2 linked regions of the Diceros bicornis minor genome follow. The protein of the gene in region 2 interacts with the protein of the main gene of each other region in a pairwise test. Links are inferred from orthologs where the notes say so. Each region holds a gene or a part of one and is shown on either strand. Other genes may lie near its edges.

Region 1 (7,358 bases), on a different chromosome or scaffold from region 2:
TAAAACTCTAGAACCTAAAAAAAATCTTCCATGACCTTAGAATTCCAAAGCCAGCTAACCCCACTCCTGCCCAGACCCTTTCACTGAAATTAATCCACCCAAGCCTATCTGACAGGAGCAGGGCCCAGAAGCCAGCCAACAGGTCACAGCCTCAGACTCTCTTCATACTCCTCTTTGGTCATCCACTCAGACTTGTAGGTAGACAGATGAGCCACAACAGATGCTCCTAACCAGACACTAAAGTTTCTGTTGGAACCCACCCATACGGTGGTCTTGGTGGAGCAGAAATGATGTTCGATCAGCTCCTTGTACAGGCGCTTCGTGAAGCCCGGATAGAGGGTGTTCCCCCCGCAGGCCACCACGTGGGAGATGAGCAGTGGGTGCAGAGAGGCTTCGCAGGTCTGGATGGAATCCAAGACAGCCTGAGAGATGCTGGGCCCCTCCAGGTCGAACACCTGGGGGCTGAAGAACATCTCGGGAGCCAGCCGCTGCATGGGGGTCAGCTCCACGGGGGTGCCATCCGGGAGCTGATAGGTGTTGTTCTCATCTGAGCCATTGGGCAGGCTCTGACGGAAGTCCAGCGCCTCCCCCAGATTCTGCGGCACGTAGCACTTGTTCATCTGAGTGTTGGTGACCGTGTCCAGCTGAAACAAGTTGTGTTGGTTGCTATCTTCCTTAAAGAGGCTCTTGAAGAGGTAGGCGGAGAGATCCTGGCCCGCGAACTCCAGCGTCTTACCACTGGGCTGTAAGGGGTGGCCCAGATGGAAAGGCTGCACGCGGGTCAGGCCGTAACCAGAATCAACCACCACGCCGGTCAGCAGGCCAGAGGCGTACAGGGACATCTCCAGCTGGTCGGCCAGGAGTATGGACCGGACATCCAGTAACTCAAACATAATCTGCAAGAAGGGGAGAAGACTGACACACTCAGGGTGTTTTCTCCAAACCAAGGGCCCTGATTCATTTCTGTTTTCCCCAAGACCGTGCTGGGGGCTCAGCTCCCAAAACTGAAATCAGCACAGAACTGCGTCCTCGAGGGACTGGGGGGCTGCCCCAGGACATTGGTCCCAGGACCCCTGGAGCTCATGCTGTGGGAATAAGGGATGGGCTCTAGAGGGTTAGAAAGAGGCAGATTTGCCCTCAGGGGCTGGTTTCATGTGGGGTTTTCAGCACTCCACATGGTGGAGGGGTGGGAAGAGCCATCAGCTGCAGGAAATGGGCTGAGATGCCGGGCTCTGCGAGCAGTGGGGGGACTGGAGGGGGAGCACAGCCAGGAGGCAGATGTGCCGGCTGAACCATTTCTTTGGAAGAGGGAAGAAGAAATAAGCAACAAGTGCAGCATCTTCGCCACTGCCTCCCAAATGGAGGAGTACAAAGAAAAAGAAAACATACGCCCACCTCCTGGTAGGTGAAGCCTTAGTTTTTTTAGAATAAAAACTTTTCAAACATCAAGACAAAACTAGAATTCTAATATTTAGGGTTTGGCCAAGTCCCTAGGCTGATTTACCCCCCACGCCCGTCACCCCCTAGATCTTTACAGAGCACCCCCACCGCCTCCCCAGTTCCCCGGCTCTGGCTACATCCTCAAGTTTCTGATGCTATAGATGAAGAAACGCAGCAACTGTCCCTCCTGCTACAGCCTTTGGAGACTCACCTCCCTCTTTAGGCCCCGGCAGGCCCATCTTCTGCCCTGAGCGGGAGGGAGCTGCCTCGGTTCCCATGCTCAGAATATTGCCCCTCCACCATCCAGTTCCCTAATAGAAGCCAAGGTCCTCCCTTTCAAATAGAAAATCAAATATGACTCCCCCACTTAAAACTCTCCAGCAGGTTTCTATTCATTTAGAGCAGGGGTTGGCAAACATTTTCTGTAAAGGGCTAGACAGGATCGCCAGATTCAGCAAATAGAAATATAGGCTGCCCAGTTAAATCTGGCTTTCAGATAAACAGCAAATAATGTTTTAGTGTAAGTATGTCCCATGCAATATTCGATATTCGAGACATACTTACACTAAAACATTATTTGCTGTTTATCTGAAATTCAAATCTAACTCGGTATCACATATTTTATCTAGCAAACCTACAGTAATAAATATTTTAGGCTTTACAAACCTATACAGTCTCTCTCACAACTACTCAACTCTGCTGCTGCAGTGTGAAAGCAGCCACAGACGATATGTAAATGAGTGGGCGTGGCTATGTTCCAATAAAACTTTATTTATAAAATCAGATGGTGGGCCAAACTTGGCCCACTGGCTGTAGTTTGCCAACCCTTGATTTAGGGTAAAATCCAAGTGTTTCCCACAGCCCACCAGGACTGGAAGGTCTGTCCCCTGCTGACTTCATCTTCCTGTGTCCCTCCTGCCACCTTCCTTAGTTCGCTGGGCTCCAGCCTCATTGGCTGAAATCATCTCCTTAGAGAAGCTCTCCCTCATTACCCTCTTCGAAGGGGTTCCCTCTATCCCCACCAGCCAGCTATCACCCCATTTCATTTTGCTTTTAGAACTAATCGCTCTCTGGATTTTTACTTGTTAACTTATTCATGGTCAAGTCTTCCCCCATAACATAAGCTCTTTAAGGGCTAGAACATGATCTGTGAACATTTATGGAATCCATGAACGAATACCAGGTGTCTCTCCCAGAAGCACCCTTTCCACAGAGTATTTTACCTGCTGCGTCTCTACCTGCAGGAGGAGCCCCCTCTTGCCCAGCACAGTGCTGGGCACACACTAAGTACTCAGTAAACATCTGTGGGGCAAATTACTTAGAAAGCAGAGTTCCTAATGCCCAGTCATGTCTGAACACATAGTGCCAGGCTGCTCCCCTCTCCCCAGTAAGGGCAGCCCCGAGAAGGCCTTACCTCCAGGGTCTTCTGTCGGTCCACAGGCTCCCTCAGGGGGGACTCTGTGACTATCACAGGGGAGTCCTCGTGCTCCCGTCTATGTGTCTCCAGGACGAAGGACCAGATGTGCTCCACGCCCTCCCAGTTGAGGACACGGCCACGCTGGACGGGGTAGCTGAAGGTGTCAGGATGGTAAATGTCGATGCCCAGACTCACGCGTCTTCGGGCGTAGCTGGGGCCGGGGTTCTCCCTGCACGGAATGTAGTTCACAACGCTCGGGAAGACCATCTGGGGCTCATTCCACCCGGACAGGCCAGCCTTCAGAAAGCCAGACCCGTGGTCGATGATAATGGTTCTCGCGGCCATGGCAGAGGCAGAGGAGGGAGAGGCCTTCCGGACTTGGCTCCTCAAAGATGTTTGACAGACTAGGGCCACCTATGGAGGGAAAGGATGGGGGTTGTGAACCCATTCTAGGCCCCCGTGGGCTGCTTCCCACTCTCCACCCCAGAGTCAAACCCCAGGCTCCCTTGAAGCCTATCTGTTCCCCCTTCCAAGACTTTACACAAGCTGTAACCTGCTCCTGGAATGTTCTTCCCGTCCCAGACTCCCAATCGTCCTACAAGGCCCACCTAATGGGCCCCCTCTGGAAAGTCCTGCCAACCCCTCCTTCCCACCAAGCTTCTCTCGTGGCACTTTGCACACTCCTCTACTACACCAGGCGGGCACTTCCACTCCACAGGAGCAGAGGTTGGGCCCTGTTACTCTTTGCAGACTCGGCAAGAAGCTTGTCATGCAGGAAGTGCTTGGTGGACGTTGGCTGCCTGACTCAAGGACACACAGAAGGCGAATCATCAGCCTCAGGGCCGCCGCGCTCAACAGCAACAGTGCAGCAGCCACAGCAGCAGGAGTAGTAGGAATAATAGTGACGATGACAACGACAATGACGATAATGACGACAGCTACAGCTACCATTCCTGGAGTACACACCCGCCATTTAGTACTATCAGGAACATTTGCATATTAGGTTGAACTATGTAAAATTGCCATTTGTGTCAGTCAAAAAGGATCAAACACCAGCAATTTCATGTGGTTTGACCCGATACTGGACTCAATCTTTAAAGCAATCTTAAGACAGCTACCATTGTTACACGCATTTTACAGAAAGGGAAACTGAGGCACAAGGGGGTAAAGTTGCTTTCTCAGGGCCACACATGAGTAAAAGCAGGGCTGAGAGTTAAACCCGAACTAGACTCCAAAGGCCACACTCTGAGCATCAGGCGAGGCATGAAGACGTGGGTTTCGAGTATGAGCTGAGCAGCTAACGTCTTATATAAGGGAGGCTGTAAGCAGGACATCTAAGCACGATGGTCAGTTTCCTTATCTGTAAAGCTGGGGAATGATAACTGCCACGCTAAAAAAATGGTGTGGTCACTGCCTGGTTTCCAGACTTACTGTAAAACTACAGAAGCCGAGACAATGTGGTATTGGTGAAAGGATAGTCACGTAGACCCATGGGACAGAACAGAGAGTCCAGAAATAGACCCACACTAAAAAGGTCGCCTGATCTTTGACAAGGTGCAAAAACAATTAAATTGAGGAAGATGAGTCTTTACAATAAATGATAGGAAACAACTGGATGTCCATATGCAAAAAAATTAACCTTAATACAACATCACACCTTACAAAAAACCAACTCAAAATGGATCATAGACCTACATGTAAAACCTAAAACTATAAAACTTTTTTTAAAATAACATAGGAGAAAATCTTTGTGACCTGAGGTAAGGTAAAGTTTTCTTAGATATAACTTCAATAGCCTGATCCATAAGAGAACAATTTTTTTTTTTTTTGTGAGGAAGATCAGCCCTGAGCTAACATCCATGCTAATCCTCCTCTTTTTTTTTTGCTGAGGAAGACCAGCTCTGAGCTAACATCTATTGCCAATCCTCCTCCTTATTTTTTCCCCCAAAGCCCCAGTAGATAGTTATATGTCATAGTTGCACATCCTTCTAGTTGCTGTACGTGGGATGCGGCCTCAGCATGGCCAGACAAGTAGTGGGTCGGTGCGCGCCCGGGATCCGAACCCGGGCCGCCAGTAGCAGAGCGTGTGCACTTAACCACTAAGCCATGGGGCCGGCCCAAGAACAAATTGATAAACTGGACGTCGTCAAATTTAAGAACTTTTGCTCTTCAAAAGATGCTGTTAAGAGAATAAAAAGACAAGCCATAGACTGGGAGGAAATATTTATAAATCATATATCTGATAAAGACCTTGTATTCAAAAAATATAAAGAATTCACAAAACCCAATAATAAGAAAAACAACCTAATTTTTTTTAAATGAGCAAAAGATTTAAACATTTCACAAAAGAAGATAGATGGACGGCAAATAAACACATGAAAAGATGCTCAACATCATTAGTAATTAGGAAAATGGAAATTAAAACCACAAGAAGATACCACTACATACCTATGAGAATGGCTAAAGATAAAAGCTGGCTATACCAAGTGCTGACGAGGCAGAGGAACTGAAACCTTCAGACACTGCTGGGGAATGTGAAAGAGCACAACCACTTTGGAAAACAGTCTGGAAGCTTCTTAAAAAGTTAAATTTATACCTACCATTCAACCTAGTATTTCTACTCCTAGTTTATTCACCCAAGGGAAACAAAAGCTTACGTTCACACAAAAACCTTTACGCACATGTTTATGGTAGCTTTATTCATAATCACCAAAAACTTGAAACTATCTAAATATCCTTCAACTGGGGAATGGAAAAAGAAATCTCCATTCAATGGAATAATACTCAGCAATAAAAAGCAACAAGTAACTGATACACCCAATAACATGAATAAATCTCAAATGTATTAAGCTGAGTGAAAAAAAGCCAGACCCAAAAGGCTACATACTGTATGACTCTACTCATATGACATCCTGGAAAAGGCACAACTGTAAGGACAGAAAACAGATCGGTGGCTGCCAGCACCGGAGGTGGAGAGAGGGGTTGACCACAAAAGATCTTAGTAGAATTTGGGGGTGACGATAGAACTGTGCTATATCTGGATTGTGGAAGTGGGTATATAACTGTATGCATTTGTCAAAACTCTTGCAATTATACGCTAAAAAGAATGACTTTTACTCTAAGTAAAAAAATTTTAAGGGAAAAACCCAGTGGGCACGGGGACAAATGGAGGGTTTATGAAATCGCCTTGTAGAATACAAATTGTCACACAAACAGCAGACTTGGTGCCTTGAATGCACGTGGGTATTTTCTGTAAGACAGACATCCAGGGAGGCCACTCAGCCGATGGCTGCATTCTGGGGCTGGCCCTAGCCAGTGGCTCCCCATCGTCACCAGCCTTGGGGCACTGATTAGGCTTCACTGCCTCTAATTAGCTCTGACATCAGATGGGGGAGGGCAAAAAAGAAAGAAATGCAGTTGAGGCGCTGGTCTCCTTTCTCGCCTGCTGGCAGGCTGAGTAATGGATTCCTCACACTCAATCACCCAGAGTGATGGAGAACCAGGGCCTACTTGACATTCTGGGAAGCGGGCTCTGCCACGGACCTCCCCGTCGCAAGAGCAGGGTGACTGATAAGTGCTTCCTTGGCCCTGGCATTTGGAATCACAGGAGACATTGGAGGGTGATGTCCACTGTGGCTGTCGATCAGGATGTCCACTGAGGGGGACTCCAGCCTGGAGACCAACTGACCTGGCCTGGGAGCACGAGGGTCGGGGGAAGGGGGCCATTCCTCCCCTGGACTATGACTGTAGGAAGAAAGTTGGATGGCTCCAAGAGCCAGCTCCAAGGATAGAGATAAAATCTACATATTCAAAAGTATTTTTACTGAGTTACCTATTCTACAAATCCTTACTGAGCACCCACTATGTACCAAAAACCATTCTAGACTAACATAGTTCCTGCCCTCCCAGAGCTTACATTCTACTGAGAAAGACTGTCAGTAAGCACCAGATCAAATGTGTCACACCAGCGAGGGTTAGTACAACGAAGAAAAAGAAAACCTGATAAGAAGAACAGGGATTATAAGGGACACAGAGGAACGATGTTATCCTAAATAGGGAAATCAGAAAAGTCCTCTCTATAAGGTGACATTTGAGTAGAGAACTGAACGGAGTGAGAGAATAAGGCATATGATTACATGGAAAAGCATTCCAAGCCAAAGGAACAGCAAGTGCAAAGGCCCCGAGGAAGAAGCTGCTAGATGTGCTCTAGGAACAGGCAGGAGGCCAGTATAGTGGAGATGTAGTGGGCGAGGGGAAGGGTGTTGAAGATCTCGGGTGGGTCTCGCAGGCCTTTGTATTGTGCTTAGACACGTGGGAAACCACTGGGGGTCTGAACAGAGGAATGACATGCTCTGACTTGAGTTATAAAAGGACCACTTGGGCCGATATGAAGAATAGAGTGTAAAGGGCAAGAGAAGGGGCAGGAGATGGAAAGGAAGGACGTGAGAGATGACGGTGGCCTGCACTAAGGTGCCTAAGGCGGTAGCAGTGAAGAGGATGA
Region 2 (7,339 bases):
ATATGTTTCAGAAGTAATTCCATGTATTTTGGATTACCATATGGAAAAAACCTTAGACTGCTGTATTTCTTTTTTAAAAAATTTTATTTATTTGTTTTTTTGAGGAAGATTAGCCCTGAGCTAACATATGTTGCCAATCTTCCTCCTTTTTTCCCCCCAAAGCTCCAGTAGATAGTTGTATGTCATAGCTGTACATCCTTCTAGTGGCTCTATGTGGGACGCCGCCTCAGGATGGCTTGATGAGCAGTGCGTAGGTCCACACCCAGGATCTGAACCGGCGAACCCCTGGGCCGCAGCCAAAGCAGAATGCGTGAACTTAACCACCACGCCACCCAGCTGGTCCCTGGACTGGTATATTTCTTCTTTTTTTTTTTTTGTGAGGAAGGTCAGCCCTGAGCTAACATCCATGCCAATCCTCCTCTTTTTGCTGAGGAAGACCGGCCCTGAGCTAACATCTATTGCCAATCCTCTTCCTTTTTTCCCCCAAAGCCCCAGTAGACAGGTGTATGTCATAGTTGCACATCCTTCTAGTTGCTGTATGTGGGACGCAGCCTCAGCATGGCCGGAGAAGCGGTGCGTCGGTGTGCGCCCGGGATCCGAACCCGGGCTGCCAGTAGCGGAGCACGCGCACTTAACCGCCAAGCCACGGGGCCGGCCCCTACACTGGTATATTTCTAATAGAAGTTTACTCCCTCCTCAAAATATATATGTACTTTAAATTTAAAAACACGTATTCAATATAAAATACTCTTGATTAAAAAGCTTCCAGGAAACACTATATATAACCCTAAATTGTTAAATTTCAGGGAAATTTCCTTCATAGCGATTAACAAGAATAATACCAAAACCTATATTCCTGTTGCTTCTACATATGCAGCAACATTGAAATTACTTACCTACCATAAAAGTGGCCAAATACTACATTTTTGTGCATTTAAATATCAAGGAGACAGTCTTCCACTTTTTGTCATACAATATACCTACTACACTGCTCTGCACACAGTGAATACTCAGAGCACCAGTGCTCTTTCCACCAGTCACTCCAATCCTCCCCCCACTCCCCCAAAACTGATGGTCAACAGGTCAAATGTACAGCTTGTTTTGTAAAATATTTAACGTCACCACAATACTAATTTGGAAGTCTGCTTTTCATTTATTGAGAAAAGTGATGAAACTACCAGAATCACTGAGAAGCAAAGAACCCATTACAAAACAATTCCATCTGAAAATGCATACCTATATTACACAATGCGTTCAATACAGATTTCTAAATTACAAGATATATTTAATCTAAAGAAATCCTAGGGAACTTCACTTTACTGAAAACTTTTCATGGAAATTCCAATAATGATCACAATACCAACACACATAGTAATTTTTCTGCTATACAAATAAAAGTTAGCACTTGCAAGCCTTAGTTCTGACATCTCTCGCCTTTCTTAGGCTCTTTCTCACCAGCCTTCTGAAGACAATATAACGCCTAATATGAAACAATTCCACAAACGATGACCAAATGCCTAGCCAACGCACGTATACTGGGAACAGGGTGATTTCTTAATAGCCAGTAGCTGCACATGACCTAGTATCTTATGACCAACCAGCTTGTTGAAGGACTGGCCGCAGCTCCCCCTCTCCAAGTTAAATGCTAGCTCCAACCATTTCTAAAAGTTTAACAGGAAGGGAGAAGGAAGTAAAAAAGACAATGTGAACCTTCTGATAGCAAAAACTTAAAAAAAAAAAAAAAAACCCAAAACCAAAAAACTGCCCCAGAAAAATAAAAGATCACCCACTTTCTCCCTTAAAAAAGGCCTCATCTATTTTAACTTAGCCTTCAAGTCCTACAAGTGACTATCTGCATTGCTAAAATTTTGAAAAAGGGAGTTTTAAAAAATACAGCAAAATAAGATGTCTTTTCCTTACGCTGGTCCTCTGACTGCAAGAATATTTTAACTAAAATTAATACTAAATAACGCTCTTCTTCCTCGACTAAAGGTCGGTCTCCTTCTGACATGTTCCAAGTCACTATGAATATTTCTTGTACCTATCATGTGCTGATTCAACAGTTCTTTTCTGAACTGGGGTCAAGGATGAGGGGAAAAGTACACAGGTCCTCCTCAGTGAGATGTCTCACCCCATCTAACCTGGCACAGTTCACCACCTCCGATTTCAGCACCAAGCCGGGCTGCTCCTGCTTCTGTCTTAACAGCCGCGGCCGTAGAACCCTCAACCTCCCTCTGTTCGGCATCTCCCGGCTACCCCCGTTTGAGGTCCGACTGGCATCACTCCCATACCCAGCTGTTCAGACACCGCTCTTGTCCGTCCTGGATTCCTACACCCGGGACAGCTGCCGCCCTGAGTCCCAAGTCGCGGTCGCATCTCGTTCCCAAACTGGAGCCGGGGCTGGGACACGTCTTCCCCGGTGCTCGGCCGCCGAGCTAGGGCAGGCGAGGACGACAGTCCCCTTCCCCCGCACCCCACGGCCCCCTGGCCCGGGCCCGGCCGCGGCGGCCCTCCGCTCCGCACCCCGGCACATTCCGCAGCCCCCGCCCGGACGGCCCGCGCCTCTCGCCCAGCCCCAGCCCACGCCCTCAGCGGCCCGGCTCCCTGGCGGCAGGTGAGTCCGGGCCGCGGGCCCTTGGCCGCCGGGGTGCTCACCTTACTGAGGACCCCGCAGCGCTCCACCGGCAGCCTGGACTCCGTCTCCGGGTCCTCCTCCGAGCCCGACGAGTTCCAGCTCTGGTTATCCGACATGGAGGCGCGACAGCCGAGCAGGAGCCCGGCCCCCGCTCCCTGCGCTGCGCCGGAGGAGGCGCCCAGTGCCCGGGGTGAAGGGTCGGGGGATGGCGAAGGCAGGGGAGCGCGCTCCGGCGCGGGGGGGAGCGGCAGGAGGGACGAAGTCCGCCCGCCGCGCCTGACACCGAGCGGACCGGGGAAGGAGGACGCGCGGCGAGGGAAGCCCGCCCTTCCAGCCGTCAGCCGCCGCCGCCGCCGTGACCCCCGCGGTGCGCCCGGCGCGGCCGCCCGAACTCAGCCCCCTCGATGCCAAGCTCAGCCAGAAAAACACGGGAGGAAGACGGACGAGGAAATCCAGCCGCAGACCCGAGGCCACTCAGACCTCCGCTACGCCGCCATCTTCCTGCCTGGCCCACTATTTACCCTCCCCTCCGCTCTGCCCTCCCCTCTCCCCCGGGCCCCGCCCCGGCCCCTCCCGACGTCTGACGCGGCACGCCGAGGCTCGGGATCTCCGCCCGCGCCTGCCTCCGGCCCTCCCGGGTGACGCGGCTAGACGAGGGGGAGGAGCGGAGAGAGGAGGAGGAGGAGGGACGGGGACGCCGCCGCGCTGCATTTTGGGAAGGTCGCTGCTCCGTCGGCCGCGCGGCCTCCCGGGAGTTGTAGTCGCGATCCTGAGGCAACGGGTGAGTGCTCCGCGCCGGGAAGGCTTGTCGCGTTGGGGGCGGTCAAGCAGTGGCTGGGCTTCGTGTGACAGTTGCGTGACCCGTCCCCTCGGCCGCGCTTTTATCTCTGCCGAGCCTCTTTGTGACGAACCCCCTGGGCTTGCGGGCCCGGACGTGGTAACTCTCCGCTGAGGATGGCGGGCCTGCCTCCATGACGGCTTCCCGAAAGCCCGGGAGCATCTTCCCGCTCGCCCAGGCGGGAGTGTACCCGGCGCATCCGCCTCGGCCGCGGGCCAGGGGTTTGCCACCTCTCTGGTGACACGGGAGTTCCTTTCCGCCCAAACTCCTCTGCCAATTTCGGAGGGCTTGCACCTTGCTCTTTGGAAGTGAGTCTTCACGCTTGACGTTTCCCGCTTTTGAAGGAAGCATGCTCAGTCCCGTCGCACCAGAGCAAGCCCTTCTCGTTGTTAGATTTTCGGTTTTTGTTTTGTGGAAAGTCATTTTGAAGATGTCTGAGAATAAATGACGCTTGAGGAGCTTTTAAAGTAAAATGAGAATGTGAGATGATAGCCTGGAGTTTTCTCTGAGTTGTGGGTGAGGATCTTCCTGAGCCCCAGGTTAACCATCTCTACCGACCCGCCTCTCTCTGAAAGACAGGAAAGGTTGGAATAGAAACTCTCTTGTGTAGGAAAGATCCAAGTGCAGTAGTCGTATTGCATATGGAGGGATTAGGCAATAGGAGGCTGGCTTTGTTTTAAGACCAGAATTAGTGGAAGGACCAGTAAAAGAACTAACGTCTCGTCTAGTCGTTTTGCATACGTTTAAGGATAACTTTTATTGTGAGATCTTGAGCTATGTAGCTTCAGTTCTTTTCTCTCGTTTGCTATTTTTACATCTTGTTAATTTCCTAATCATTACCAACAGTAAAATTCCTGGTTAAACCTTAGAAAGAATACCTGCTTACTGCAGGGACGAGAGGATAGCAGTGAAATTACGAGCCTAGGGGAAAAGGCACAGTGGCCAGAAGTAACTCTGGTAGCGATAGTGGCCAATTTAACTGGGATCTTTAGCAAAAAACGGAATGATGGGAAGTGCCTCTGAGAAATATCTAAGGTATCTTTCAGTCCCCTAGATTGACACTTATAGATGCTGAATCTATGTAAATAAGTTACAAATTTTGTCCATTGTGAAATCAAGGGATAATAATTGAAAGCCATTCAGGTGAATAAAACCTTGAGATAAAGCTTTTGAAAATACTGTATTAACATGTTAATTAAAACATAATCCCAAGGTTGTCATTCAAAAGACAAAAAAGAAAATCCACAGCACATCTTTTCCTCTTTATTGAGTTACTAAATTATACCTTTAGAATGATGAATACTGAAGCAATTAAGTTTTGTTTTGCCTTCCGATTACCTAATATAGTTAGACTTCCTATTTCTGGATCTTTTAAGCTCTAAGTTTTAAAATGTCATTAGTCTTAATAAATGGTTGTGAATTGTTGAGATATCCACTTCATAATGCAGTTTAGAATCGTGGGAGCATAGTATATGTTTATTTTTAAATTGGACTTTCTGTTGTGTGCATTTCTAAGTTGTGTGTGGTTGTAACCACCAACACGTAGCTCACTAAGGTGCCCACTTACTCAGTAGGAAATTGTTTCATTGTATTTAATATTAATATGAGAGAAAATTTCCTTTTTAAAAAAGATTTTTGCCACGTTGTTCCTCTATACTTATAAGATTATTAAAAAATTTTTTTTAAGTACAGAAGGATTTTTGTATACTGATTAGAATACCACATTAGAGGTTGGGATTCTCTTCATTTCTGTTGAAGGGAAGAAATTGCAGTACAAGAATAAAATAACGTGAGCTTGCTTTCTGTTCTCTGGTGAGAGGGATACCTTCTGAGATTTCTCTCTTACTTAGAGCTTCCCCCAACCCTCTTATGAATGTTCTGTATTTTCTCTTTTAGTAATTTTTTTTTTTTACTTTTAGAACTTGAACCCACCTGGGATTTATTTTTGTATATGGAATGAGGTAGGAATTTAATTGTTACTTGAGGACAGCCACTTGGCCCAACACTTCATTGAATAGTCTGTTCTTACCCTTATATCTATGTGATATGCAGGTCTGTTTCTGGACTCCATTCTTTTTCATTGATCTATTTGTCTACCTATGCTAATACCATACTGATTTAATTACTTGACTTTACACTCTTTTCATATATATAATAGCAAAATTCTGCTAATGTTCTTTTTCATTTGGATATTTTTGTGTATCTTCTCTTCCAGGTTAATTTTAGAACAGCTTGTCAAATTGCATGAAAAATTCTATGGGGATTTGGATTGAGAATGCACTTAATTTGTAAAGAAAATGACATCTTTACAATTTTAAGTCTTAGCCTGGGTCAGGCGTTTTACATTCCTGATCTGACTTTTTCCTTACAAACTATATAAGTTTGGCCTCATTTTAAGGATACTGCAGGGCCGGCCCCGTGGCTTAGTGGTTAAGTGTGCGAGCTCCGCTGCTGGCGGCCCGGGTTCGGATCCCGGGCGCGCACCGACGCACCGCTTCTCCGGCCATGCTGAGGCCGCATCCCATATACAGCAACTAGAAGGATGTGCAGCTGTGACATACAACTATCTACTGGGGCTTTGGGGGGGGGGGGTTAAAAAATAAGGATAATACAGCTGAAGCTCAGGGAGGCTAAGTTACCCAGTGTTGTATAGCTGCTAAGTGGCAGAGTTAGGATTTGAACACAGACCTATCTGATTTCAGAGATCATACCCTTTTCTTTGCTTCAGAATACCTCTCAAAGTGGGAAGAATTGTGTAAATAAATAATATATCCTGTAGATAAGTATATCAGAGCAACTATGCTCTTAATTCAGCTAATGATTTTGAAAATCTTTCCTTTATCCAGCTCTTAGATCTATGCTGTCTTATTTAACTCCAATGTAGAATTTATTATTTCTATTCTGTTTCTATTTCTTATATTTCACATGAATAAACTGAACCACAGAGAAGTTAAATAACTTTCCAAAGGTCATACAGCTAGTAAAAAGCATAGTTGTAGTTTGAGCCCAAGTATCCTGTTTCCAGCCTTCTCATCCCACTAGAGTTCTTCAATTCCTCTTTCTCCCTGTTTTCCACCTTATCTCATTCTCCCAGCTCTTATCTCCACTAAACACCAATCCCAAAGACTTCATCCCTGCCTTCTACTCCCACTGGCAAAACACAGAAGCCAGAAAACACTGAGGTATTGGAACTGAGACTCTTTGCAATTTTACTGATTAACAGATAGAGGAATGAGGGGAAATATTTGTTCTCAATTCTGTAACTATAACAGGAGAGGATGTCCCACATTGAAACTGAAAAGATTGTCTAATTTTTAAAAATGGTGCTGTAAAGAGCCTTTATTAGTCAGCTCAGGTTGCCATAACAAAATACCACAGACTGGGTAGCTCTAGTCCCGCTTCCTCTTTTTTTTTTTGGGGGGGAAGATCAGCCCTGAGCTAACATCCATACTAATCCTCCTCTTTTGCTGAGGAAGACCGGCTCTGAGCTAATATCTATTGCTAGTCCTCCTCCTTTTTTTCTCCAAAGCCCCAGTAGATAGTTGTATGTCATAGTTGCACATCCTTCTAGTTGCTGTATGTGGGACGTGGCCTCAGCATGGCTGGAGAAGCGCTGCGTCCATGCGTGCCCGGGATCCGAACCCATCCCACCAGTAGTGGAGCGCGCGCACTTAACCACTAAGCCACAGGGCCAGCCCACCTCTTCCTCTTCTTATAAGAACCCCACACTTATGACTTTACTTAACCTTAATTACCTCTTTACAGGCCCTATCTCCAAATACAGTCACATTGGAAGTTAGGGCTTCAAATATGAATTTTGGAGGGACACAGTGTAGTCCATAACAGAGCTTATAGGTTCTGTATTC

The links.
Region 1: the proteins of CERT1 (region 2) and ACTL8 interact in binary tests that used the Homo sapiens proteins (3 or more experiments, as listed by UniProt). The two-hybrid records come from large-scale screens. The link is inferred for Diceros bicornis minor from reciprocal best matches to the Homo sapiens genes CERT1 and ACTL8.

What each region holds. Positions count from the first base shown.
Region 1 is NC_080752.1:35,111,961-35,119,318, reverse strand, and holds ACTL8 (actin-like protein 8), read right to left. Parts: upstream 3,203-7,358; coding exon 2,855-3,202; intron 897-2,854; coding exon 144-896; downstream 1-143.
Region 2 is NC_080740.1:4,955,556-4,962,894, forward strand, and holds the start of CERT1 (ceramide transfer protein), read right to left. Parts: upstream 3,095-7,339; 5' UTR 2,752-3,094; coding exon 2,656-2,751; intron 1-2,655. UniProt on the Homo sapiens protein: Shelters ceramides and diacylglycerol lipids inside its START domain and mediates the intracellular trafficking of ceramides and diacylglycerol lipids in a non-vesicular manner.